3 linked regions of the Drosophila melanogaster genome follow. The protein of the gene in region 3 interacts with the protein of the main gene of each other region in a pairwise test. Each region holds a gene or a part of one and is shown on either strand. Other genes may lie near its edges. The genes, in order: CG13551, mrn and GstT4.

The links.
Region 1: the proteins of GstT4 (region 3) and CG13551 interact in a two-hybrid assay, tested with the Drosophila melanogaster proteins (one large-scale study listed by BioGRID).
Region 2: the proteins of GstT4 (region 3) and mrn interact in a two-hybrid assay, tested with the Drosophila melanogaster proteins (one large-scale study listed by BioGRID).

What each region holds. Positions count from the first base shown.
Region 1 is NT_033778.4:23,381,817-23,385,568, reverse strand, and holds the start of CG13551 (uncharacterized protein), read left to right. Parts: upstream 1-2,144; 5' UTR 2,145-2,249; intron 2,250-2,446; 5' UTR 2,447-2,471; coding exon 2,472-2,521; intron 2,522-2,809; coding exon 2,810-2,954; intron 2,955-2,977; exon of another isoform or gene 2,978-3,017; coding exon of another isoform or gene 3,018-3,752. Other genes in the region: CG30414 (uncharacterized protein), read left to right, coding at 243-456, 522-564, 620-867, 923-1,335; yellow-d2, read right to left, coding at 3,018-3,752.
Region 2 is NT_037436.4:15,578,813-15,582,564, forward strand, and holds the start of mrn (marionette), read right to left. Parts: upstream 1,726-3,752; 5' UTR 1,695-1,725; coding exon 1,396-1,694; intron 1,341-1,395; coding exon 140-1,340; 3' UTR 1-139. Other genes in the region: CG12301 (uncharacterized protein), read left to right, coding at 2,078-2,482, 2,542-3,752.
Region 3 is NC_004354.4:13,402,674-13,406,425, forward strand, and holds the start of GstT4 (glutathione S transferase T4), read left to right. Parts: upstream 1-2,075; 5' UTR 2,076-2,293; coding exon 2,294-2,411; intron 2,412-3,752. Other genes in the region: CG12725 (uncharacterized protein), read right to left, coding at 1-41.

The sequences.
Region 1 (3,752 bases), on a different chromosome or scaffold from region 3:
CAAGACAAAGCATCACAGGGGTCTAATTTTTGGTAGTGAGTTGGAATTTCCCCAGATTCGTAAATAAAATAAAAATAAAAAAGTACTGAGAGCACTCATTAAAACAAAACACTGATTCCTATCATATCCGTTTCCGTTGACGGTCATAAAGAGTGTACTGTTATCAGCTGGTCAACATAAAATTCCTCAAAAATTACCTCAAACTCGACTAAGCTTGCCAGTCGCTCCATTACCGCGAAAAGATGAAGTTCATCGCAGCTGGATTAGCTCTTCTGGTCTGCTCCATCCAGTTGGGTGAAGGAGCACCTGGTCACCTGCTAGACTCCAGTTGTGGCACGACAAAACCAGAATTTATCCCAATGATCACCGGGGGCGCAGACGCAGGCCTATTCTCAAATCCATGGATGGTGAAGGTGCTAGGCGAGAAACTATGTGGTGGCTCGCTAATCACCAGTCGTAAGTATTCAAATGTGGCCCACGAATGAGTTCTTTGTCCAGTCACCTGCTGCTAATACTTTCAGGCTTCGTTCTCACGGCCGCCCATTGCATCGTTAGTACACACATGTAAGTGAGGCAGCACTGTCTTTCGGCGAACACTTACGAATTCCCATTTCCACAGGAGAGTACGCTTGGGCGAGTATAAAACCCGCTTTCCTGGCAAGGATTGCTCGCGCTGCGTGCCCAAGTCATATAAACTCAGGAGAATACGCTTGGGCGAGTATGACACCCGCTTTCCTGGCAAGGATTGCTGCGTGCCCAAGTCATATGAACTCGCTGTGGATAGAAAGATTTTGCATGCGGATTATAACCTAAACTTGGACAACGACATCGGCCTGTTGCGCATGAAGAGCTTCGTCCAGTACTCAGGTAATGAGGTGGATCCAGCAGCCAGGGCTCCCTAAGCAGTGGACATATCTTTCAGACTACGTCCGGCCGATCTGTCTCCTGGTCGAGGGACACATGGCGGAAAGTCCCATCTTCAACATCACCGGCTGGGGTGTCACCAACGATGGCACGCCCAGCCGGAGGCTCCAGAGGGCCACTGTGTACAACACCGACCTCCACTTCTGCCGAAGCAAGTTCACCAAGCAGGTGGATGAGTCGCAGATTTGTGCTGCTGGCACAAATAGCGATGCATGCCACGGCGACTCGGGAGGCCCGCTGAGCGCACAGGTTCCTTTTGCCGGCAGCTGGCTGACCTTCCAGTACGGACTGGTCAGCTACGGGTCGGCGGCATGCCATTCCTTCTCCGTTTACACCAACGTTACGCACCACAGGGACTGGATTGTGAACGCCATCGAAGACTTCAGCAGAGCTTTCCAGCTTAGACTCTAGCTACTCATAATAACATTTCGTTGGCTTTTCTAAGAAAATATTATCAATCCAAAATATTATCTCGAGTGGTTTAATGGCTCCCCTGACTTCTGTCGTAGACGCCATTCGGGTCAATAATATCTGCATTAGTATTTATGTACATAAGCGAAGCTTATCTTCAGCAAATTTTAACGCTATACGCAGCGAAGCCTCGCTTTGACTGATTCCCCAGAATTCTGGGGAAAAACCGAACCCTTGGAGAAGGTTCACTTCTACACCCTCACTGGCTGGGGTCACACCGCAGACTATAAGCCCAGCCGCATTCTCCAGGAGACCACTTTGCTTGCGCTCGAACAATCGTGTTGCAACAGCAACTTCAACATCGAAGTCGACCAGTCCCAAATCTGCACCACTGGCGTGGACAGCGATGCCTGCGGTGGGGATTCCGGGGGCCCGCTGAGCGCGAAGCTGCTCTTCGGGTTAAAGAAGCGGGCTTTCCTGCTCGGACTCGTCAGCTACGGGGATGCATCCTGTAGGATCTTCGAAGTGGCCACGAATGTGACGCACTACGTCGACTGGATTAAGGCAACAATCGACGAGAACTCAAGTTAAAGCGTTAAAGCGTCAAGTTAGAGTCCAAGTCGATTGAGAATTTAAATTTGTTGCTAGTAAGAAATCTGCAATTGAAATATTAGTTTACCATGATTAAGTAAACAACAGAAGAAGCTTAGTTTTATTTGCAGTATGCAAAGGGTATAAAGCGTTATCGATTAAAATCGCAAGCTCACATATTCGATAGACCACGCCGACTGTGCTCGCTCTGCCGCGAAGGTATTATTTAAGGGTGCGCCTACGGTCACTCTGCAGAAAACTTTTGTCGTCGCAAAAATGTAAGTAATGTTCAAGCGCGCCGCACTTTTCCGGCATTAAATCTAGTATGTGCATTGGGTATTCGTGTATATATTTTATACAAACAACAAACAAAGAACTGGCTAAAAATAGCGGCTCTTTTATTGCGACTTGGTTTTCGAAAAAGTTCAATGCACTCCGTTTTGTTAAGGAGACGGCTTTACAGTTACTCTTCGTAATGGAGTTTTCTCAATAAATTGTATTTTCTGCGCTTCTCTTGCAGCTAAACTACTCAAGAATCAAACAGAATGTTCGTTGTACGTCGTAGCGCATCTCGTCTGTACCCCGCTGGAGTCCAGTGAGTTTCTACCCACATTTAACCCCCGTTCATAACTACCTGCTAATTGGCTTACAAGACTTAACAGAGCACTCATATCTCATTCGCCATATTCAAAGTGTTATGTATGCCCCCAACTTACACTTTCCTCAATGTTCGATAAGATAAACAATTCCGATCCCATCGAAATCGCTTTCACCCTGCGCGCATGTGTGTGTGTGCAGTCTATGCTGACTTCACTCCACTGTTGCGTAACCGCACAAAACCAGAAGATTCTAATGGTTCCCACCGCCATTTTCCGCTCCACAGGCTGGCCAAGATGAGCGGCAGCCAGGTGGGCGACCTAGGCAGTGGCGCCGGCAAGGGAGGCGGCGGCGGTGGCTCTATCCGCGAGGCCGGCGGAGCCTTCGGCAAGCTTGAGGCTGCCCGCGAGGAGGAGTACTTCTACAAGAAGGTGAGTGACCCAGAAAACAACTTATTTCATCATTAGCTTTATTGAGCAGCAGCGGGAAGCGACTCAGTTGCAAGGCCTGCCGCTGAGCAGCTCCTGAACACCGCACTTCTGTATGCGAAAGTTTATCTCCTTGTAGTCCAGACCCGCTCCGAAGGCTTTCTGCAGCCGATTCGACAGCACCCACAGTTCCTCCTTGCCCTCGTGGTTGCGCACTATCTTGAGTCCACTGGCGAACTGCAGTCGCTGCTCATCCTCCACCAGCATGACCAGATTCTGATGGCTGTAGCCGGTGCGAATGTTCCAGGCCAAAAGGCTGGCCGGCTGGACCAGGCCGCAGATCAGAAAGCCGGACTCGCTCATGGCCGCCGCAACGCATTGACTTCCCCGCTTGCCCAGCAACTGGAACTGATCCAAGGCAGCGCTCACATCGTTCAGCCGCCAGTTGCTGCCGTTGTTGACCACATCCAACGGAATGGCCATTTGCCACTCGCTGGACAGAGAGTGGAAATACATCATCCGCCGGCCACCCAAGCCGTGGGGCGTTAGAGTGGTAGACACCGTGCCGTCCCACAGCTGGAAGCTCTCGCCTGCTATCGTGAATGTGCCGAAGTCTGGATGAGGATACGTAAACTTGTTCTCAATCCGCCACGACTGCTGGGCTGCCACGTCATACACCACAATGCCGTCTCCAATGGAGTCCGCCATGTACACGAATCCCACATCGCAGTTGTGCGGATCCAGCTCCACGGTGGGCGTGACAAAGCGACTCACGCCCTCCTTGTACAATCGCTTGGGCAT
Region 2 (3,752 bases), on a different chromosome or scaffold from region 3:
CTTGTATGTTGAATGTCGATGATAAATGTGTAATCCCACACTCCCTTATTAAACCATATTTTAAAATTTTAGCTTGTAACAAAATGGGCACAGATGTTACTTCTAAAATAACTTCCCAATAATTGGTCGTAATACCGGGCTAAACACCACTCTTAGAGTACTTCTTCCAGTAACGCTTGACATCGTCGTGGCCATTCTTTTGCACCACCATTGTGCGAGTTCGCTCATTTTGCCACACCAGCATGTGGATCGACTGGGCGTAGTCTCGTAGCGTTACGAAATCTGTATGCGAGAGGAACTGATTGTACAGCACGCCTTCGGTGTAGGTGAAGCGATTTCGCTCTAATTCCCACAGCTTAATTTGATCAACGACTGTGGGTGGCAGGCAGGATTTAGAGTGAATGGCTGACTCGACCATGCGCATATTGGGATGCGCATACTGCTCCAGATACGAGACAATCTGCTCTGCCGTGATACCGCCACGCAACGCCTGGCGCACTGAATCGCGGGTTAGCACGCCCACGACGAGATTGGGAAAGCGGTAGAGAAGCTCCGTGAACAGACCTAACACGGCTACCTGGAGCGGAGAATCAGTGTAGGCATACACTCGGTAGTTCGTCTCCACCACAATGTAGCCACAGTCCTGAGTGGCCTCCTCATCCATGGCCACAGATGCAGTCGCAGCCGCCTCCTTGCTTGTCACATTCAGAGCCAAACGTGTGGGATAGAAGCGTCCCTCCTTACGCTTACGTTGGAAGACCAGTCCAAACTCCCGTAGATGCTGCAGGAATGTCAGCATCTGACTGTTCATGCCCTCGGAACTGTAATCCCTGCCCAGCGTTGAAAAACTGAGCTGGAACAACATGGACAAGCATTCCGGCAGGCTGATTCCTCTTTCTTCGCACGTGTCCAGGTACTGTAGCATAAAATGCCACACCTGAGCTCGCGTGTCCAGCAGCAGGAACTGAAAGCCCTGCCGGGTTATTGTGATACCGTCTCGTTCATCACGTTTCATGAGATTGGCGTGCAGCAGAATCCGAACGGCGTCCGGACTAATGGCCTCCGCATCGGTGCCATTGCGATTTCCGGTGCCGACCATGTAGTGCAACACGCAACGCCAGCGGGACATGGCGTATGTATCCAGAAAAGCAATGTCCCTGGGCTTCGAGTCCTTATCCAGCGTGTTGGTCATAGGCCAAGGTTTTCCGCCGCCCAGCAGCACCTGGCGTACGCTTTTCTTGAAGGTGGGCGAGAGCTCCCACGCAGAAAGGCCACCCGGAATGGCTGTGACCCGCCAGACGTTCAAAGCCGTCAGGCAGCTGGTTGCCTCGGCTTGCTCCCTGCAAAAGTAATGCATTGCAATGATATTGTTTATCCAATTGGATACAGTCATACTTGGCACAACGTTGGGCACCCCATGATGTGACCACCGCTTGTGGCACAGGCTGATCCACGAACAGTATCCTTATGATAAACTGCCGGGCTATCTCTGGAAGCTCCCGAAAAACGGCCAAACAAATGGGCGGATAGTTGTACAGCTTCTCCAGCGACTCTGGCGTTTGGCGGGTGCGCAGATACTCCTGAAAGTCCTTACACTCCAAGTTCGCAGGACCCTGCCCCAAGGGCGACAGGACGGCGTTTCCACTTCCCCCGGCAGCCGAATGCCGACCACTACCGGATTTCGTGTCGGCCATGACGATTCGAATGTCGAATTCGTAAACAAAATATTTTCATCCCGTTGTCATCGATAGCCGGTCTTTCGTGGGGGGACAATCGATAGTAATCATCAAGGGCGTTACGAAGGGGGTTTTCGCTGAGTTAAAAGTACATTTATTGTTAAAAAAAAATCAATTGATTTTTGATGCATAGATATATGTATTGAGTAGTAAATGTTATTATATTTAAGTTAATTTTTAAAAGAAGGCAGCTCCATTTTCCACACTCATGCTATCGAGCACAGGTAGAAATTGTGATGGGCCGCAAAACTTATCGATAACTCTTCAGCTGTTATTCTGCACACGTGCTGCGCGAAGTATTTTTGTATTGTTATTTGATTTTAAATATTTTCCTGACAAAAATGAGTGACGACGAGGAGCACTACGAACCAAAGGCACACAAGAAGCTGCTGCAGGCCATCGGCAGTCTGGGCAAGGTGCAGCACATCCAGAAGTCCACGCGCGACGAGCGGCAGTCGCTCCAGGATGAGTTCCAGCTGGTAAAAGGTGTTTCGTCAGCGGAAACGGATCATGCCCCCAGAGCCGTGGGTCTGAACGATCTGGTAGACATCCTACGCACCTCCACCAAGCACAGTCAGACGGGCAAGAAGCTCAAGAACATCCATGGCAGCAAAAAGGTGCTACAGAAGCCGCTGGAGAAACCAGCTGCGGATCGAATTAAACGGACCATTGGCTACGAGGGAGTTACCAAGAAACTCGGTCGTTGGGATGCTGTGGTGGCTCAACAGAGATCTGCGGAGACGCAGGTGAATGAATGCCAATGCTAACAGTGACATACACATATAATCTCCAAAACTTATTACAGATCTTCCCCCTACCATCTGAAACGGTTTACGTAAATACTGCGGCAAATGCCAGGCCTCTAAACACCCGGGTCAAGTCCAATCTTGCTCAAGAACTCGAGGCTAACAACCGTAAACTACGGGAACTGCGCAAAGCGCAAATTGGGGATACCACGGATGAAAAGGAGCTGGCCAAGCAAGAGCGGCTTTTACTACAAAAGAAGCTTACCAGGGACGAACTATTTGCCCGTCGCAAGGAGCTAGCTTACCTGAAGATGCGCGAGTCTCAAAAGTCAGCAAAGGCGCGCATGCAAAACAAAATCAAATCGAAAAAGTTCCACAAGCTGCAGAAGAGACAAAAAATGTTGGAGCAGATGAAGGAGTTCGAGTTGCTGCAGAAAACCGATCCAGAGGCGGCGCTGGAAAAGCTTAATGCCCTGGAAAAGAGTCGAGTGCAGGAGCGTGCCAGCCTGCGGCACAAGAACACCGGTACTTGGGCGAAGAATCTGCAGATACGGGCCAAGTACGACAAGGATGTGCGAAAGGATCTGGCCGAGCAGTTGGCTGTTAGCAGGGAACTGACCCAGAAAAAGCAGGTGTCAGACAGCGAAGATGAAACCACCAAGAAGAGAGTTTTACCCGAGGAGGAGGATAATGACTACGATCCCTTTAATCCTTGGACAAAAAGAAAAGCTACAGAGCAAACGGAAAATGGAAATGGTGAAAGTGAGGGTTCCAATTGGCGGCAATATTGGACAAAAAGGAATAAAAACGAAAAGTTACTGGAGGAGCATCGTAGGGATTTGGAAGGAGTCCAGGATAATGACGAGCAGGAGGAGAAAGAAACTATTCGGAAACCATTAATAGAAGTAAAACCTGCTAAGAAGAAACTTAAGAAATCGAAAGTTAAGATAGAAAATGGCTGGGAGGTGGAAGATATTTGCCCAACTGATCAGAAAGAAGCCAAGGCAAGCCCGAATTCAAAAGCCATTGATGACATTTTTGAGAAACACGAGGATCATATCAGAGCCAAACTAAATAAGAAAATGGAGAAATTGAGGGAACGGATAAACAAACTTAAAGAAGTTCCTGTCAAGGGAAAGAAGGCGAAAAAGAAGGACGTCTTGCAAAACCTAAAAAGTCTGGCTTTAAAAAAGACAAAGCAACAGATAGAGATTGACGAGCCCCTTAACTACGAGGAGGATAAAAATTCACAGAATAATATCCCTGCCCA
Region 3 (3,752 bases):
TTGCCGTCGCTCGTCTGAACTAGAACTTGCATCTTACGCATCCTAATCCAGATATATATATATATATATATGTATCTGGCACGTCGAACTGCAACTTTTTTCGTTTTATACACAAGCTCTAAGTTTTGCTTCGTTCGGATAAAAGTTTGCTCTTGGAATCCCCTATCAAACTGTCGTCGTCATGCGAATGCTAGTGCGAGTTAAATTTAATGGCATCCTTGATTACCTTATTTGATTTCCTTTGTCGATTCTCCAATCGAATTTCATAAGGAGCAATTGGCAACCCTGAAGTTGATATATTCGGCTATTCCAATTTAATAAAAATTCATTTTCGCGCTTTAACCCACAACAGTTGCATATTCTTTGAATAGTCACTATTTTTGATTTCGACGTGAAAGTAAAATATTTTCAATCAATACAGGTAGAGAAAACTCATAAGAGCGGGGCTCCACTGCCCAGCGGCCACGTGGCCTCCAAGGACCAGAACGTGAATACATTGAGCAAATCGATCCTTGGCGAGGTACTAAGAAAAGCCTTTAATGTGAAGGCGTGACCCGTTCAGCGCGGTTTGCTCTCCTCCGCGATTCATATGAACCTCTGACGAATTCGATGCCATAATTTTCAGCTGCCAAGGTCGTCTTTCAAAAATAAATATAAAAAATTAAATGTTTCCAACTTTTTAAGTTAGTAAGTTAAATAATTAGCAATAGAAATTAACTATTTTTTATAGGATAATCATAGCGAAATTTCTGAAAATGCACGAAATGAACAGCTGATCAAAAGTGAAGTGTAGTGCACTCTATTGAGCCATTATCGTGGCAAGTATCTTTGTGCCAACTGTTGTGCCACCTTGTACGGACAGCGTACACTTGTGACAGCGAATGCATCTTAGAGATACAGATACATCCGAAGACAAGGCACTTTGGCTGGCACTTCGGCCCAGTTTTATCAGCTCAACAGTTGAACAAAAACAATTCGCTGACCGATATGGAAGGTATAGTTGTGTTTCTTGTTCTTGTTGGTATTTTCTGTTATTGGCCCCGTTTTTGGTAAACAAGATAACACCGCACATCGTAGATTCGTTTAGTGGGGTGCTGTGGGGCTTGGGATCGCTGGGATCCTCAAAACACTTATTAATACTAAGCATTTTCTGATTGGAAATCGTCGCCAGATAACGCACGAATATATCAAAGCTAGTCCAGTACAAAGGCGAAAGAGCCGAATACCGAGTCAAAAAGAAACCAGCAAAACAAAAACAAGAAAAGCCGCAGCAGCAACAAAATACTAAAAGCAAAACAAACAGCGATAAAATCGAACAGCTAGGCACACTTGAAATACCCTATCGAAAATTGGGAAAGCCCTAACACATGGATTTAAGCCAAGTGTTCGTTAAGCCCTGAGTAAATGCATCGAGTTTAATAGCGGCAAGGGAAGCTATATGGACTCTATATGACTTTATGGTTAAAATATAAGCTGCTTGTAACTATCGCATTTATGTAAGTTTTAGTATGAATTTTGGTATACGGCCAAGAAAATGAGTAATAAAACCTGGTACCAATTTTCACCACCATCCGATTGGTAATACCCGAGTTACGATAGGTAAGTTTTGCATATCCCGCTCTCTTTTCGCTGTGGGCCACACCCTCTTTTCAAAGGGGCATGCAGTCGCAATGTCTCGATCTCAGCGAAAGGGTAGCGCCAGTGTCAGCAGAGGCGGAGCAGAGGAGCAGCAGTGGGGGCACCATATACAATGTACATATGCACAAGAAGCCGGTCTTTTTTGTCTCTGTTTTTGTTTTTGTGTTCGCTTTGTTTTTTTCTCTTTTTTTTTTTTTTTTTTGTTAGCATCTTGTTGTGATCGCAACGCTGCTCCGCTGGCTTGTTTTTGCGGCGCATTTAATGAATGCGCCCCGTTCACCCCTCCCCTAATACTTCACACACACCACACACCGTACACCAAACGCCATACACCATACACCATACACCACACACCACCTCACCCCACCCACCAGTTTGCTGCGCAGTCGGCGTCGACGCAGCGGCATTGCGTTTAAAATGTCGCAGCGACGGCGCTGCGGAGCTCAGTCTAGCAGCAAAAGTCCAGCGATACGGTTCCAAAGCGATCTGATCTCAGTTTCGATTTGAATCCCCCGATCTGGAATTTCGAATTTTGGATTGTACTGCAGTGCATTGAAGTGCCTACACAACTTTTTTTTTCGCACCCACTCTAGTCACTTGGAGAGAGCACACTGTATATAGTTGGAATATATATATATTAGTATATATCAACGAGATGTCGCAGCCACTCAAGTTCTACTTCGATTTCCTGAACCAATCGAGCCGGGCGCTCTACATCCTCCTGGAGGCCTCCAAGATCCCCTTCGAGGCCATACCCATATCGATGCTCAAAGGTGAGTAGTACTCGCTGTTAAGAAGGGAGTGGTGGTGGGCAGGGAGTACGTGAGCGGTGGCACACACAGCCACATCTATAAGACCAGCCACATCTATAAGGGCCCAAAGGTCGAACCAACCGACCAACCGACCAACCGACCAACCGACCGACCGACGAACACATTCCTATGCATTTATGCTGCCCTTTGTTTTCGATATTTTTCGAGTCGGCGAGTGAGTTTCCAAATAAATTTTCCGCTCGTTAAAAATTCCACAATCCAAACGAAAAGTTTCCAAGGCGAAAGCGGGCAGACGTCGTTTTTGAAATAGTGTCACTCCATTCGAAAACAATTGAGGAACTGTGGAACATGGCGAGATTAGACGAACATATGTATTGTACATACATATGTACATATGAGTTCAATGCAAACGTGATTGTTCTCAAAAATAATTTCTTAGCAAATGATAGATAAGATTAAAAGGAATCCCGAAACGAACGTGAGGATTCCTTAGAAAGTGTGTGCAAAATAATTATATTTTTTTTTTTTGCAGAAGTGTTCGAGCATTATTGAGCAGTCGCACTTTGAACGTGTTTACAGATAATCTTAGCCTTTGGGGGCATCCAAAAAAAAAAAAGAAAACCGGCTAATTGCCTTCTATTCACGCTTTTATCGCAGGGCAAACAAACTACAAACTCAAATATGGGTTTCAAAAATATACAATATATGTACATACTATATATTATTCTTGATTCAATAGTATAGATTCAGTACTGTACCTTAAATTCGCAGTGCACTTTGCTCGTGTTTACTCCGCACGAGAATTTAGAAACCGATCTTTGCGCTGGTTTTATCACCTGCTCGCCAAACTGGGACACTTATCAAATTTTCGATGAGATCCAGCGTTTTGTTAGCCACTTTGTTATTTCCATTACCATTCGCTTGAGTTTTGTTTTCCTTCATCATTTGTTGGATGTGGTTTTACTATTTGCCAAGCTGCGCGTGCGCTTAGCACTTTTCGATGATTCGCATATGGTATCAATTTAGGAATGGAGCTAAGGTAAGGAGGGTCTTCACACCTCGTCTTGGTCGTTCTCCACTTGGTCAAGGTTGGCGGAAATGCCATAAAGTGCAGAATTGATGCGAGGATGCAATCAGCGGCCACATTAACGGCTGCATATATAATTGCGATATGTGGATAATGTCGTCTCGCGTTGACGTCAACGCTTTGGCATCGCGTAAGTTGATAGCCACATAAATAGGTATATACTGGGATATCAACTACTATGCTAATCCCAAGGAGAGCTCCCCCAACTCCTCGATACAATGTTCGATTCCCAGACAGGCCTGCCTTTTTTGTTT